Rattus norvegicus: one gene and its partners. Each later gene encodes a partner of the first gene's protein in a complex. Links are inferred from orthologs where the notes say so. Each region holds a gene or a part of one and is shown on either strand. Other genes may lie near its edges. The genes, in order: Cdk4, Ccnd3 and Ccnd1.

Region 1 (4,634 bases):
GGGTACGCACAAGCCGGTGTTTATGTGTGGAGCTCAGCAGTCTGGGCTGCTGGTCGTTGCCCTCCATCTTTTACAAAGTCCAGCACTGCTGTCTTACCAGGGGATCTGTCCATCTCGCCACAAGAATGGCACTACAGAAGCACCTGACTTCTACGTGGATTCTGGGGATTTGAACTCAGGTCCTCAGTACTTATGCAAAGGAGCTCTACCCACTGAGCCAGCTTCCCAGGCCATGCCGTGTCTTGTCTTAACCCAATCCCTGCTCAGGCCCAGTACCAGCAGCAACTGCGCTCCAGATTCCTCCATCTCCGGCACCACTGACTGCACTGGCCGAGGTCCTCTGGGGGAAAAGGCTCCTCGAGGAAGAGAGACCTCTCGAGGCCAGTCGTCTTCTGGAGGCAATCCAATGAGACTGTAGGGACAGGACAACTGTCAGGAGGGGCCCCTTCCCAGCCAGTTGCTATGGAATGTTCCTTTCCTTTTCCTTAGTGGATACTTACTCAAAGATTTTGCCCAGCTGGTCAGCCTCAGAGTTCCCACAGAAGAGAGGCCTAAGGTAGAAAGATAGTCAAAGTACATTCTTTTAAAAACCGGAGTAACCGTTAAGTGGACCAAACTAGAGTGTGGAGCTAAGGAACAGGAAGTTACTAAATCCAGGGCATTTCAGATTTGCCCATGTGGTTTCTTTTCTAGGCAAGGTGATTGGTATGAACTGGGTAGGCTGGGACTATGGCTGGATGGCAGGGGACCATGCCTATGGAAACCCCAGGTTGGGTATCCTGCACTGTACATGCACAAGAATGGTCAAGAACAGATAAGTCTGTAAAAGACCTGGGGCAGAGTGTTTAGTTTAGTGGTACAGAGGCATGGCTGAGGGGTTGGGGATTTAGCTCAGTGGTAGAGCGCTTGCCTAGCAAGCGCAAGGCCCTGGGTTCAGTCCCCAGCTCTGAAAAAAAAAAAAAAAAAAAAAAAGAAAAGAAAAAGAAAAAGAAAAAGAAATAGAGGCATGGCTGAGTGTACGTGAGTCCTGATTCCAACCTCTAGCACCGTGAGAGAGCAGCAAAAGATCTGTGGAACTGAAGGTGGCTTAAGAGTTTCAAGTCCCAGCCAGGCAGTGGTGGTACATGCCTTTAATTCCTGCACTCTGGAGGCAGAGGCAAGAGTTCAAGGCCTGCCTGATCTCGTTTCTGTGTAGCCAGCGCTACACAGAAAAACCCTGTCCCATGGCAAACAAAACAAATGTTTCTAGTCCCATACTTCCGGCGAAACATCTCTGCGAAGATACAGCCAACACTCCACATATCCACAGGCGTTGCATATGTAGACTGCAGAAGAACTTCAGGAGCCCGGTACCAGAGCGTAACAACCTAAAGAGAATAGGAGAAATAAGTGAGTGTTGTCCTCGTAAACAACTGTTTGGCTCTGAAAACTTCAAGTACAAGACTCCTTAGTCGCTTTGGGAAACCACCAAGCCCTACCCCGAATCCCAACCTATTCCGGCTACTGTCTTACTGACCACAGGCGTGAGGGCCATCTGGTAGCTGTAGATTCTGGCTAGGCCAAAGTCGGCCAGCTTAACTGTCCCATTACTTGTCACTAGAATGTTCTCTGGCTTCAGGTCCCGGTGAACAATGCAGTTTGCATGAAGGAAATCTAGGCCGCTTAGAAACTGGCGCATCAGATCCTGGTTTTGAAGAAAGAAGCAGAGAACTGTGGAAACTATGTATCACTGTGTCCAAAATCCCAACAAGTTCTACTGCACATATCAATCCACCTCCACCCACCCCTCCACTCACCTTAATGGTCTCAACAGGCAAGCCCGGCGGAGGTGCTTTGTCCAGGTATGTCCGTAGGTCCTGGTCTATATGCTCAAACACTAAGGTGACCTTGATGTCCCGATCAGTTCGGGAAGTAGCACAGACATCCATCAGCCTGAGAAGAACAAATGGTCAGGAGCTGGCCATCCCCTTTGTTTCAACATGGCCTCTGGCGTTCTAGGGTCCCACTCCTGACTAACGGGTCCTATTGTCCTCTCCGCCCCACTCCCAATCCAACCTTCTCACCGTACAACATTGGGATGTTCAAAGGCCTCCAGCCTTCTTAACAAGGCCACCTCACGAACTGTGCTGACGGGAAGGCCCCCTCCAGCTGCTCCTCCATTAGGAACTCTCACACTCTTGAGAGCCACAAAGTGGCCACTGTGGGGATCTCGGGCTTTGTACACCGTCCCATAGGCACCGACACCAATTTCAGCCACGGGTTCATATCGAGTGGTAGCCATTCTCGGAGCAGGGGATCTACAATCACAGAGGCTTCTAATACCAAGCTCTCTCTCACAGTTAGGAGGAGATGACCCGGCAGTAACAAAGAAACTCCTGCACAAGACCTCACCAACATTATCACCAGCATCCCACCCTCCACACATCCAGGGCCCGCGCTCCTTAGGTAACACAAAGACTTCCAACAAACCCTCTTCCAGCCACGTTTTGTCCTGGAGGAAGAAAAGAATGCTTTCTTTTCTTTCGGAGGACCATTGCGCCCGGCACAAAGAAGATCACAGTGCACAGGGCTTGCATGGAACAGTCTGCGCTTCACTCTCTGAAATCACACCCTCGCCCACGACCACAAAGGCCCCACTTCCCGCCATTGGGCCACCTTCCATACTCAGCCAGCGACGCGCACGCGTGGGGAGCTGGAGGGTGCTAGTGCTCGTGGGGACTGGCCCCCCGCTTCTGGAAAGGGTTGCACTCACCTTACGCTCGGCCAAGAGCTGCGGAGGTGGCCCTTTATCTGGGCCCGGGAGCCGTTTCCTGCGGCGCCATACACCGGGGATCGGTCCCGGGCAGCTGGACGCTTCGGGCCAGACCATAGACACAGGCCGCGAGCTAGAGAGGCCCCCTCACCCCCACCCTCACCATGTGACCAGCTGCCAGAGAGGCGCGCGGAAACCCGGGAGGCGGGGCCGACGGCGGACGTTCTGGACACGTGACCTCCACCCATGCGCACTCGGCGACCGGGGCCCCTTTGATGGGAGGGGTGTGGTGGGGGAAGAGGGCGGGACCTGTACTGCCACGTGACCTGTTGCTATCCCACGTGACCCCTTTACTTTGCGCTGAGAAGCGGAGGTGTGGTTACGCTGTGTGGCACGTGACCGGCTGCCAAACCCTGACTGCGGAGGGGGTGTGTGGGGGCGAGAGAGGGTGGGGCACAAGGCGGTGCCATGGCAACCGGGCCAACCAGCTCTCAACGCTCAGCTCAAGGCCGAGCCTGAGAGCATCTTCAGTCTCACTACGCGTCTCTATGTGGGCGGGAGGTCGAGGTGCTAGTGGGAGATCCTGGTGCCAGAGATGGTGCTGTAACATTTCCACTCCACCGCCATGGGGAAACATTCGTATTTGTGTCTTCATTTTACTCATTCATTCAACAAAATTTTACTAAGTGCTTCCTTCCAGTTGGTATGCGATGTTTTTGTTTTGGTGTCTCAGTCACTCCGCCCTTTGAAGTGATGATAAAGATAGCTAATAAGGCAACCGTGGTCTTATAAAAACAGGGAGTAGACAATTTCTATCCGAGGAGGAAACTAAAAGATGGATAGAAGAAGATTAACATAGTAAGCCGCTGTATGGGGGGCGACAATGTAATGCCCTCCTTCTTCCCAACTTGTAAACCTCCCCAGGAATATTAAAAGCAGCAAGAAGTTATTGGAAATAAGGGTTCTTGATCTTACAAGTGTCTTTACACTAAGATTGCTATATATATATGTGATTGCATGAACAGACAACAGGGTGAGCACATCCAAGGGCAGTCACCACCACATTGCTGGAATATGACTTGTGTCCCTCTGCAAACCTGTGACTCCTCATAGGGGTCACATTCCTTTTTTTCCCCAGTCCTGCTTAGAACGTACCCTTGCCCTGATCAGCGTTTCCTAAATGGTCTGCCTACAGAAATCTAGTCAGATAGAGGTAGATCTGTGTGACGATTTGGTTGGCTCCAACTCCTTTATTGTCTCCCATCAATTAGGAGCATGAGGATAAAAGACCATGTTCCCAACTGTGAAGAATTGCTAAAATCTAGACCTATTTTTGGTGCCGAGGATTGGAGTCAGTGTTTTTATATGTAGTAAGAATTGGTTCAGTCACTGAGCTATATTCCTGAACTTTAAACTCTCAAATCATATTTGAGACACTATAGCTGAGGAGGCTGGTCTCAATAGCAATCTTGGTGCCATAGCCTCTAAATGCTGTTTTTACAGACATGAGCAACTACTTTGGCTGTTTTTACTGTTTTGTTTTAATGAAACAAGGTCTCATATAGCCCAGGTTGGTCTTAAAATGGACATGTACTCAAATACTTGACCCTCCTGCTCCATCTCCCAAGAACTAAGTGTAAAGGCATGCATGTAACACGCTCTTTTTCATTTCTCTCTTTTCCTTTCTCTGTATTTTTTTTTTTTTGAGACTGGGTCTTGACATGTAGCCCAGGCTGGCCTTAGACTCTCCAATGTCCAAACGCTTGGATTCCAGATCTGAGCCACCACACCCAGACTGAAACCATTTTATTGCCTGTTTTATGGGGCATTCCATTCTAACTTCTATTCTTACTTTGTTGGTTGAGAATGTAACAGTGATGGG
Region 2 (4,489 bases), on another chromosome or scaffold:
TCTCATTCTATAGTCCAGGCTGGTCTGGAAACTTACCATCGTTCTGTCAGCTCTGAAGTCCTGGTATAAGAAGCATAGGCTATTGTTATTTGGTGTGGTTGCTTTTTGCTTTTGAGATAGAATCTTATGTAGCCCAGGCTGGTCCTGAACTCATTAGGAAGCCAACAGTGACCTTAATCTTTTGATCATTTCTAGGTTCTACAGTGCTGGGGATCGAACCCTGGGCTCTACAACCTCAGCTACATCTGCAGCAGTTTCTCTGTCTCTGTCTCTGTGTGTGTATGTGAGAGAGACAGAGAGAGACAGAGACAGAGAGAGACAGAGAGACAGAGACTGTCAGTTTCATGAAGTCAGGCTGGCCTTGAAGTGCCTGTATAGTGGATCATGGCATTAGCCAGGTTATGAGATTACAGATTTGCACCACCACATCCAGCTCCAAATGGCTTTTAATATGACCAACACTGCTCATACCTCCCCTGGAGCAATGCAGTGTCCCATTCAGCAGACCTGAGAAACTGCATTTCTTCTTTTACTTTTTTTTTTTTTTTAAATTGTGTGTGTGCATGCGGGGGCGTGTGTACATGCTACAGCAATCGTGTGGAAGTTAGAGGACAACTTATGGGAGTCGCTTTCTTTTCTTCCACCATGTGGGTCCCAGGGACCATACTCAGATTGTCAGACTTAGTGCGGGGATGGTTTACCCTGAGACACTGAATCGGTCGGAAACTACATTTCCGCTCAGCTCCCTCCTGCTGCTGCTGCTGCTGCTGCTGCTGCTGCTGCTGCTGCTGCTGCTGCTGCTGCTGCAGCAGATCTGCGGAATTCGTTGAAGTAGACTAGGTTCTAAGCCACGTTTCCCGACAGACTAACAATGAGATCTTTGCAGCTACTACTGTGCTTCTATCTGCAAAGTAAAGCCCAACTCAAGTCCATTCCTAGAACCCACTTGAGGGGAAGAGTGACCCAACTACGTACGCAGTTATTACCACATTCCCTAGAGCATTGAAATAGGACGCATACGCGAACGAATAACTTTTGGCGACTAGTTCTTTCTTGGGTGGCTAGAGTCGCGACAGGGCCCATTGATGGGGAAGAGGGCACCCTCCCAGAAAGTTCTCTCCACCCTCTTGGTCAGAAGGGACCCGAGGGCCCGGAAGCCTGCGGGCCGGAGCCCAGCGGACCAATGGGGCTCCGGGGAGGGAGGGAGGGTATAGCGCCCGCCAGCCCTTTCCGTCTGCGGTCCCGCCCCTTAGAACGTTGTGACGTCGGAGCATTCCACGGTTGCTACATCGTCGCGAGGGGCGGGGCGCCTGTCAGGGAAGCGGTGCGCGCGGGTGGCGGGCGGGCTGGGGCTTCTCCGCACAGTGCCAGCGCCAGCGCCAGACCCGCCCGCACCCCGCGCTCTCACTCACACGCGTCGCTTCTCCTAGGACTCGCTAGCCCGCACTCCTGCTCTCACCCGTGAGCCATAGCAGGATGGAGCTGCTGTGTTGCGAGGGCACCCGGCACGCGCCCCGGGCCGGGCCCGACCCGCGGCTACTGGGGGACCAGCGTGTCCTGCAGAGTTTGCTCCGCTTGGAGGAGCGCTACGTGCCGCGAGCCTCCTACTTCCAGTGCGTGCAAAAGGAGATCAAGCCGCACATGCGGAAGATGCTGGCGTACTGGATGCTGGAGGTAAGGCCCGGACGGGTCCCCTCTCCTCACCCCACCCCCACCCCCGGCTCTGGGCAAATTGAACTTTCCCTGTTCGTGCTTCCCGATCCCGACCACAATCTGCAAGATGCTTTGACGGCCCAGACTTACAGGGGCCTGGCCTTTTCACACAGGCACCCTAACCAGCTGCCTGCGTTCTGTCCCTTTCCTTTCCCCAACCCTGATCGGCTTCTTCTGTGACTGCCAGCCACTTGGCACTGTAACTAAGCTTCACTTTGGGTCGGGAAAGCGGGCTAAGGGCCACTTTTTCCCCAGTGGCTTTTCTCGGTGTCTCCTGCTTCCTTCCTCACCCCGTGCTCTCTGGAGAGCGCGTTTGGAAAACCTTGGGCTCGGCCGCCTTCGCCCCAGAACTGGTTCCTGTGTCTGTCGCGGGGTTCTGTCGGGGGGGAAACTGGTGGGTGGGGGTGGCGCGGGCTCGGTTCCGGTCCACAGGGAAATGAAAAGTGCGGGAGACCGCGGCAGGAGTTCCCTCCCTTCCCCCTGGGAGTGTGTGTGCAGTGGGTGGCGGTAATGAGGGTAAGGTCCCAATTCTCTCTAGGTGACCCTTACGTCCCCCTTCCGCTCGCCGTGGGGGAGGGGAGTCTGGAATCTTTCGTGAGCATGGGCTTCTCTGTTTTACACCCCCTACTCCGGGGTAGGGAGGAGATCATGCAGAGGAAGTGGGGGGGTCACCTTGGGGAGGGCACATCCTCCTCGGTTATTGATACTTGTCGTTCTAAGTTTATCCCTTCTTGGTTTATTTTTTGCTCCACATTCCACTCTCCCTCCGCCCCCCCCCCCCGCTGCCGCCCATGCTGCCGTGTTTCACTTGGTCCTTCCCTAGCAATGACTCGTGCGCCCTCCCTCAGGTGTGTGAGGAGCAGCGCTGCGAGGAGGATGTCTTCCCTCTGGCTATGAACTACCTGGATCGCTACCTGTCCTGCGTCCCCACCCGAAAGGCGCAACTGCAGCTTCTAGGTACCGTCTGCCTGTTGCTGGCCTCCAAGCTGCGCGAAACCACGCCCCTGACTATTGAGAAGCTCTGCATCTATACGGACCAAGCTGTGGCTCCCTGGCAGTTGCGGGTGCGTGCAGAATCCCTCCCCCCCCAAAAAACAACAACAACAACAACAACAACATACTATCGCCTATGTACTAGTAAAAGAAACACCAAGCTCACCCCCTCACTCACCAACCCTCCCTTCCCTCCTGCCTGATATTTTGGAAAAGAACTAGGGTGGGACAAAGGCCGTGTAGTGTAGTAGTCATGCTTCAGCTGCAAGCTTAAAACTAAATGAACCCCTTTCCTCTGACTGCAGTGGAGTTCCAATCCTAACTCGTTTTCCCCCCAGATAGCAACAAGTCCAATTGCGGGTCTATACACCAGTACTTTGCCTCTGGGTTTACACAGCCACCCTGAGTTATTTATTGGCAACAGCAGGGTATGTCTGCACACCCCCACCGGAGTGGAATGTGCTTCACGTGGGGGAGGGGGCTGCCTTGCAGGAGTCTTTATCCCCGTGTGGACTTTGTGATGGAAAAGCCTCCCGGAGCTGATTAAAGCCAGGCCCTGATTGCTGGAAGGAAGCACCGAGGTGTTTTCATCCCTTTGCCTCCTATCCCCAAAGACACAGCCCCTTCCTAACCCTCCCTTTCTTGTCTTCCTTCTGAAAAACTGGAGCAGCTGCTCTGGGCCAGTGGAAGAGTTTCTCCCTTTGCTGCTCAGCCAAAGGCCAGAGCTGAGACAGACAGGGAGCTGAGCTGCAGCTGCTTCCGATGTGATAATGATGCTGGTCCCCTTGGCCCTCCCACTCAGACCAAGGGCTTTCATAACCCTGTGGGGAGCTGCTGTCACTCCTGTGGTTTGGGAAGTGGCTCCTTGGGGCCTCTTGCTGGGAACTTGGGCTGGGCTCCTCCAGGCGGGGCAAAAATCGGTTGGGTTCTGCCCTGCCCCGGAGGAGTCTAGGGAGGAGGTGGGAGATCTGCTTGAATCTGGAAGAGAGCATGAACGTCCTCTCCCATAGGGTCTGGGGGAGAGGGTGGGTGAGCTGGCACCTCCCTCCACCTTGTTCTGTGGCTGGCCAGGCCTTCTCTGACCCTGAGAGGAGTCTCTGGGCCCCATCTCCTAGGGAGGAGGGCAGCAGGCAGACTACTGTGATTGGCTGGCTGGGAAGCTAGGGTACTGGGGCCCCTGACTGCTGTGAGTCGGGGAACTGGATTCCTCTTCCTGTCAAGCAACTCTCACGGATGGGAGGCCTGAGTTGGGAATCCGGGAGGCCCCACAGTTCTTTGTGATGAATCTAGTAGTTTCCAGAGCCAGGGAGCAAGATGTTTTTTTGAGGGATTGAGGCTGGGAGGTAGGAGACTTTACTCTTTGTGAAGAGATTAGGGTGGTCTACATGGCTGTGTGTGAGGGGAGTTTTTCAGAATAGGCAAGCCCTTCTCCTGCTCAAGGCCCTGAGCTGTGAGTGGCCTGCGGTCAGAGTTGTGAGGGACTCCAAGAACTCCAGCAGTCTCAATCCGCACAGCGGAGCAGAGGCCCCAGAAAGGAGGGGAAAATTCCGACCAGAGCGCCTTGAAACCAGGGATGGGTTACATGCAGCCAGCTCCTATGTTCTTGGAGTAGGGCTGCGATTTTCATGTCTGGAGATGGGGGAGGGTGTCCACCTAGCCTCAGTGAGGACCACGCATAGTCTTCATTGCCTTTTGGGTGCTGCTCCCTCAGAGGCTGGATGCTAGCTAGCAGAGCCCTGGGTGCGAAATTCAGGCTTCCTTGCCTTACTTCTGGCTCTAGTCC
Region 3 (4,482 bases), on another chromosome or scaffold:
GGGTTTGTGTCTTGCGTGCCGCCTAGACGCCTTGCGCTCCCTTACCAGTTTCTTCGGGGACACGAAAGTATTCCGGGGAGAATATGTGAATAGTTCGCCTAACTTGGGGTCGGATACTGTGAAAACGTTCCCAAAACTAGGGAAATAAGTAATAGACCAAGGTGGTGGAACCTCTTCATTCTAAAAATATTTGACTATAAATTTAAAATAGGCTTAGGGATCCATTCTGGTATCCACGAGTATCTATAGAATGTCTTTAAATATCACCTTATCGGCTCACACATTTATCTTGATTCTCACCAGTCCCCACCCCCAAACTCTGTAAGGCTGCCCCAGCTGCAATTCTAAAGGTGGGGGAACACAAAACACACCCCCAACGAAGCCAATCGGGAAGCTTCCGGTGGTCTGGTTCCTGGAAGGGCAACTAATACTTGCAGCGATTTACTTTTCTTAATTAAAAAATAAATTACACAAAGAGCCTATCGTGTCTCAACCTTTCCTTCAAAGATTTATTTTTCTCCGGCAGTGGAGGAGGGGGATACCAGAGGACCCTGGCCAGGATAAACCGGTCACTGTAAGAAGGCAAATCTCAGACCCCATCCCCACCCCCACCCCACCCCCAGCGAGGAGGAATAGATGAAGGAAATAATGGCCACCATCTTGAGCTGTTGCTGAGATTTTCGGGGTTTTATTTTATTTTATTTTTGAGCGAGTACATGCCAGGCTGGGGACCCTTTAAAGCTCAAAGATACCCCTCTGGCCCTTTGCAACCACCCCAGTGCGCCAGGAGGGAGCCTGCACGAGAACTTAGGGCTCGTCTGGCATCTTCGCCTGTTACACAGTTCCTGAATTTTACACGTGTTGATGAAATTGAAAGAAGTCGAGGACGACGGGATTTCTTAGCAATCGGTCCGCCCGTGGGTGCCCTCGTGGCGTCCTCGGAAACGCGCCCATTCTCTCCGCTTAAGTATAGGGTGTCCTTGCACCCCCCACGATCCCCTTCCATACATTCTTTCTTGGCTTGCGTGTGGCCTGGCCTCCCTCCTAGCTGTCCCCCTGTCCAGAGCCGCCGCTACCCCACCTTCACAGGTCTCGGAGGACCCACTTGGGGAAAGAAGCCCCCCTCCCCATTGCCCTTGCCCCGCTCTTTCCCAGCTTAGAGAGAAGCAGTCCCGGCGATTTGCATATCTACGAAGGCCGAGGGGGGAGGGGGCAGGCTTTGGGTTTGTCCCCCCCCACCCCCGCCGCTCACTGCTCCCGAGCCCCCTCCCCCTGCGCCCGCCTCGGCCCGCCCCCCCTCCTTTTTCTCTGCCCGGCTTTGATCTCTGCTTAACAACAGTAACGTCACTCGGACTACAGGGGAGTTTTGTTGAAGTTGCAAAGTCCTGCAGCCTCCAGAGGGCTGTTGGCGCAGTAGCAGAGAGCTGCAGACTCCGCGCGCTCCGGAGACCGGTCGTAGAGCGCGAGGCAGCGCGCGTCAGCAGCAGACACCGGAGCCCAACCCGGACCACAGCCCTCCCCAGGCGGCCGCGCCATGGAACACCAGCTCCTGTGCTGCGAAGTGGAGACCATCCGCCGCGCGTACCCTGACACCAATCTCCTCAACGACCGGGTGCTGCGAGCCATGCTTAAGACTGAGGAGACCTGCGCGCCCTCCGTTTCTTACTTCAAGTGCGTGCAGAGGGAGATTGTGCCATCCATGCGGAAAATCGTGGCCACCTGGATGCTAGAGGTGAGAAACTACAGGCTGCTAGCTTGGGACCCCCTGGCAACTTGTTGCTATCACCGACATCTTCTTCCCTTCTCTTCCTTTCCGTCACGGATTTTTCCCGGTGTGTTGCTAGGACTCGGGATTCACAAAATAAATAGACACTTTCGGGTCCTTTTGAACGGGAAAGGTTTAGGAGTTGGGGCGATAGGAATTTCTTTTCCTGGTGGGGGGGGGCAGTCGGGGAGGGGTGCCTTCCAGGGAGGACCGTGTCAGAGACACCACAGAGGATGCAGGCTGAGCTTCTTCTGTGGCCCCCGCTTGTGCCCCATTCCTGCAGCGCCTCAGCGGGGGCCGCCCCTGCGCGTAGCGCCAGCTAAGGGGGGAGGGGGCATAGATTTGATTTTTAAATTAATATCCATGGACACGTATGCAAGGGCCGCTCGTGCCAATATTATGCGCCATCTTTGCTCCTTTATTGCAAAGCAAAAGTGTTTATTAATAATTGGGGGCAGGGCGGAGAGTGGCAGAAGGGGCGCTGGGACGGGCACGAGGGGCCTCGTGGCGGCCGGGAGTCACTAAATAGGACACTGTGAGGAATATTTGGGGGTGGGAGACTCTTTGTTCAAACAACGGACCCCTGGGCACCCCGCACACGCTGCCTGGCCCAGAGAAAACGCTAGACTGCAAGGTCGCGTGGCCCCCTAGTCACCGAGATTGACTGTTGTCCGTGCGGGTCTGCATTTGGGGGAACCTGTCTGGGTCAAGCCGGGGGACCAAAGCACATTTTCAGTTGTTCAACAGGAGGCTCAAGGGTTCCAAAATATTTTAAAATAATTTTTAAAGTGAGTTATAATGCCCTTGCAGAGGCAAACAGCGCCCGCACCCAGCAAAAGGGGGGCCCCCGAAGTTTGAGTTGCTGGGACTTATCCCCCAATGTCCACCGAGCTCCTGACCCTCGGCTTGGATCAAGGGTAGCCCTATTGTTATTTTCAGGCCGTTTTTAGGCACCTAGTTATTTTTTAAATATTTTTAAATATTTTTTGAAAAGATGACGTCTGGGAAATGCAGCGCGGCGGCCTGGGACGCCACCTTTGTGTCTCGCGTGCGCTTGAGCGGTGCCCAGCCCCCGGCGCTCCGCCAACCCTACGGTGGGCTTCCCTGCCTTGTGGCTTCCTAATTTCAACGGGGACGGGGGTCTCCGTGGCCACCACTGCCTCGATCCGCCGCGCCAGCTGCCCAAGGACTTTCCCTTTCAGTTTCATGATGGGTGGGTACTGGGAACCCGCAGGGCTAGAGCGCATCCCCCGGAATTGGCCACCGGAATCCCTCTGTGCAATCTATAAAAAGGGTGCGGGGTCACATCGAGCGACACCCCCCTCCCCCGTTGACGGTCAGGGTCCGGGTTCCCGCAGGTCTGCGAGGAGCAGAAGTGCGAAGAGGAGGTCTTCCCGCTGGCCATGAACTACCTGGACCGTTTCTTGTCTCTGGAGCCCCTGAAGAAGAGCCGCCTGCAGCTTCTGGGGGCCACCTGCATGTTCGTGGCCTCTAAGATGAAGGAGACCATTCCCCTGACTGCCGAGAAGTTGTGCATCTACACTGACAACTCTATCCGCCCCGAGGAGTTGCTGGTAACTGCTTAACCCACCACCCGTAATCCTCCATTAGCTGCTCGATCCCTGAGTGGTGGGAGATTTAAGGGGCAGGAGGTCCAGCCATCCATGGACAAATCTCCTGCCCCATGGATGGCACCCACACTGCATGACACCGAAGTGGCAGTGGGCAGAGAATCCCAACCCCATTCTACCTCTGTGCCCGCCCCCTTTCCGGACTCCCCACCGAGTCTGCGGTGGAACAGCTCTGAACTGTAGGCGGTGTGCGCCCCCTAGCGACGCCCGGGCCGCAGCGCTGGCCGTGGGAGGTCTTTTTGTCCATAGCTTGTCTGTCCCTTCAGACTTTCTACAGGCACATTTTGTTGTTTACCTATATGGGGTCCCAGGATGTCCCCACTCTTTTTTTCTTTTTTTTTCCTTTTTTCTTTTTTTTCGGAGCTGGGGACCGAACCCAGGGCTACCTCTGAGCTAAATCCCCAACCCCCGGATGTCCCCACTCTTAAGACCTTCTTGAATCAGCCTGCCTTTCTTTTGACCGAGTTCCTCATTCTCTGCAGCAAATGGAACTGCTTCTGGTGAACAAGCTCAAATGGAACCTGGCCGCCATGACTCCCCACGATTTCATCGAACACTTCCTCTCCAAAATGCCAGAGGCGGATGAGAACAAGCAGATCATCCGCAAACATGCACAGACCTTTGTGGCCCTCTGTGCCACAGGTAGGGCCCCGCCCTGACTCTTCCCGGGCACATCTGACTCCTTGCAGTTCCCAGGCTAATGCCTCATTCCTTGCTATCTGCTCTGAGCCCGGGGTGCAGGCAGCTTGTTGGAGATAGGTGATACTAGGTGGCACCGTCTTGGCTAGTGCCTTGGAGACCTAACAGAATGGCCCGGCCTCCCTGTGCCAACCTTTCCACTGCCAGGAAGTGGTATAACCACTGCATGCTTTCTGAAGAGGTTTTTGCCTCTGCTCCTAAGCTTCCTGCCCTGCCTGTGTTCACACGGAGACAAAGCTATAGAGCCCCCCTCCTAGCTTCTCTCAGGCTGAGCCACCTACTAGGGGTGCCTACAAGGGTGGGGCAAATGGTCCAGACTCAGTCACACGTGCTACATACAGTACATCCCCCAGAGCAGGGTGGCCAGTTCAGGAACGTAGAGAGATT

What was found.
Region 2: the proteins of Cdk4 (region 1) and Ccnd3 are in contact, whole or in part, in a crystal structure (PDB 7SJ3), measured with the Homo sapiens proteins. The link is inferred for Rattus norvegicus from reciprocal best matches to the Homo sapiens genes CDK4 and CCND3. Residues at the interface, in NP_000066.1 of Homo sapiens: Gly46, Gly47, Gly48, Leu49, Ile51, Thr53, Val54, Arg55, Val57, Ala58, Leu59, Arg61, Arg62, Glu64, Ala65, Phe66, Val77, Ala79, Val89, Asp129, His132, Ala133, Asn134, Cys135, Arg163, Ile164, Tyr165, Ser166, Tyr167, Gln168; in NP_001751.1 of Homo sapiens: His11, Pro13, Arg14, Ala15, Gly16, Pro17, Asp18, Arg20, Leu21, Arg26, Val27, Ser30, Leu31, Arg33, Leu34, Arg37, Tyr38, Glu74, Lys112, Leu113, Arg114, Glu115, Thr116, Pro118, Ile121, Glu122, Pro134, Arg138, Glu141, Val142.
Region 3: the proteins of Cdk4 (region 1) and Ccnd1 are in contact, whole or in part, in a crystal structure (PDB 2W96), measured with the Homo sapiens proteins. The link is inferred for Rattus norvegicus from reciprocal best matches to the Homo sapiens genes CDK4 and CCND1. Residues at the interface, in NP_000066.1 of Homo sapiens: Gly45, Gly48, Leu49, Ile51, Thr53, Val54, Arg55, Val57, Ala58, Leu59, Arg61, Arg62, Ala65, Phe66, Asp76, Val77, Cys78, Ala79, Arg82, Ile87, Val89, Asp129, His132, Ala133, Asn134, Cys135, Ser285, Phe287, Arg288; in NP_444284.1 of Homo sapiens: Leu6, Cys7, Cys8, Glu9, Val10, Thr12, Ile13, Ala30, Lys33, Ala34, Thr37, Phe108, Lys112, Met113, Glu115, Pro118, Leu119, Thr120, Ala121, Leu138, Gln139, Glu141, Leu142, Val145, Asn146, Lys149, Trp150, Asn151, Leu152, Ala153.

The regions. Positions count from the first base shown.
Region 1 is NC_086025.1:64,769,712-64,774,345, reverse strand, and holds the start of Cdk4 (cyclin-dependent kinase 4), read right to left. Parts: upstream 2,894-4,634; 5' UTR 2,753-2,893; intron 2,298-2,752; 5' UTR 2,282-2,297; coding exon 2,064-2,281; intron 1,933-2,063; coding exon 1,797-1,932; intron 1,685-1,796; coding exon 1,517-1,684; intron 1,368-1,516; coding exon 1,258-1,367; intron 552-1,257; coding exon 501-551; intron 413-500; coding exon 277-412; intron 1-276.
Region 2 is NC_086027.1:20,894,699-20,899,187, reverse strand, and holds the start of Ccnd3 (G1/S-specific cyclin-D3), read left to right. Parts: upstream 1-1,312; 5' UTR 1,313-1,476; coding exon 1,477-1,674; intron 1,675-2,561; coding exon 2,562-2,777; intron 2,778-4,489. UniProt on the Homo sapiens protein: Regulatory component of the cyclin D3-CDK4 (DC) complex that phosphorylates and inhibits members of the retinoblastoma (RB) protein family including RB1 and regulates the cell-cycle during G(1)/S transition.
Region 3 is NC_086019.1:209,524,738-209,529,219, reverse strand, and holds the start of Ccnd1 (G1/S-specific cyclin-D1), read left to right. Parts: upstream 1-1,409; 5' UTR 1,410-1,534; coding exon 1,535-1,732; intron 1,733-3,123; coding exon 3,124-3,339; intron 3,340-3,878; coding exon 3,879-4,038; intron 4,039-4,482. UniProt on the Homo sapiens protein: Regulatory component of the cyclin D1-CDK4 (DC) complex that phosphorylates and inhibits members of the retinoblastoma (RB) protein family including RB1 and regulates the cell-cycle during G(1)/S transition.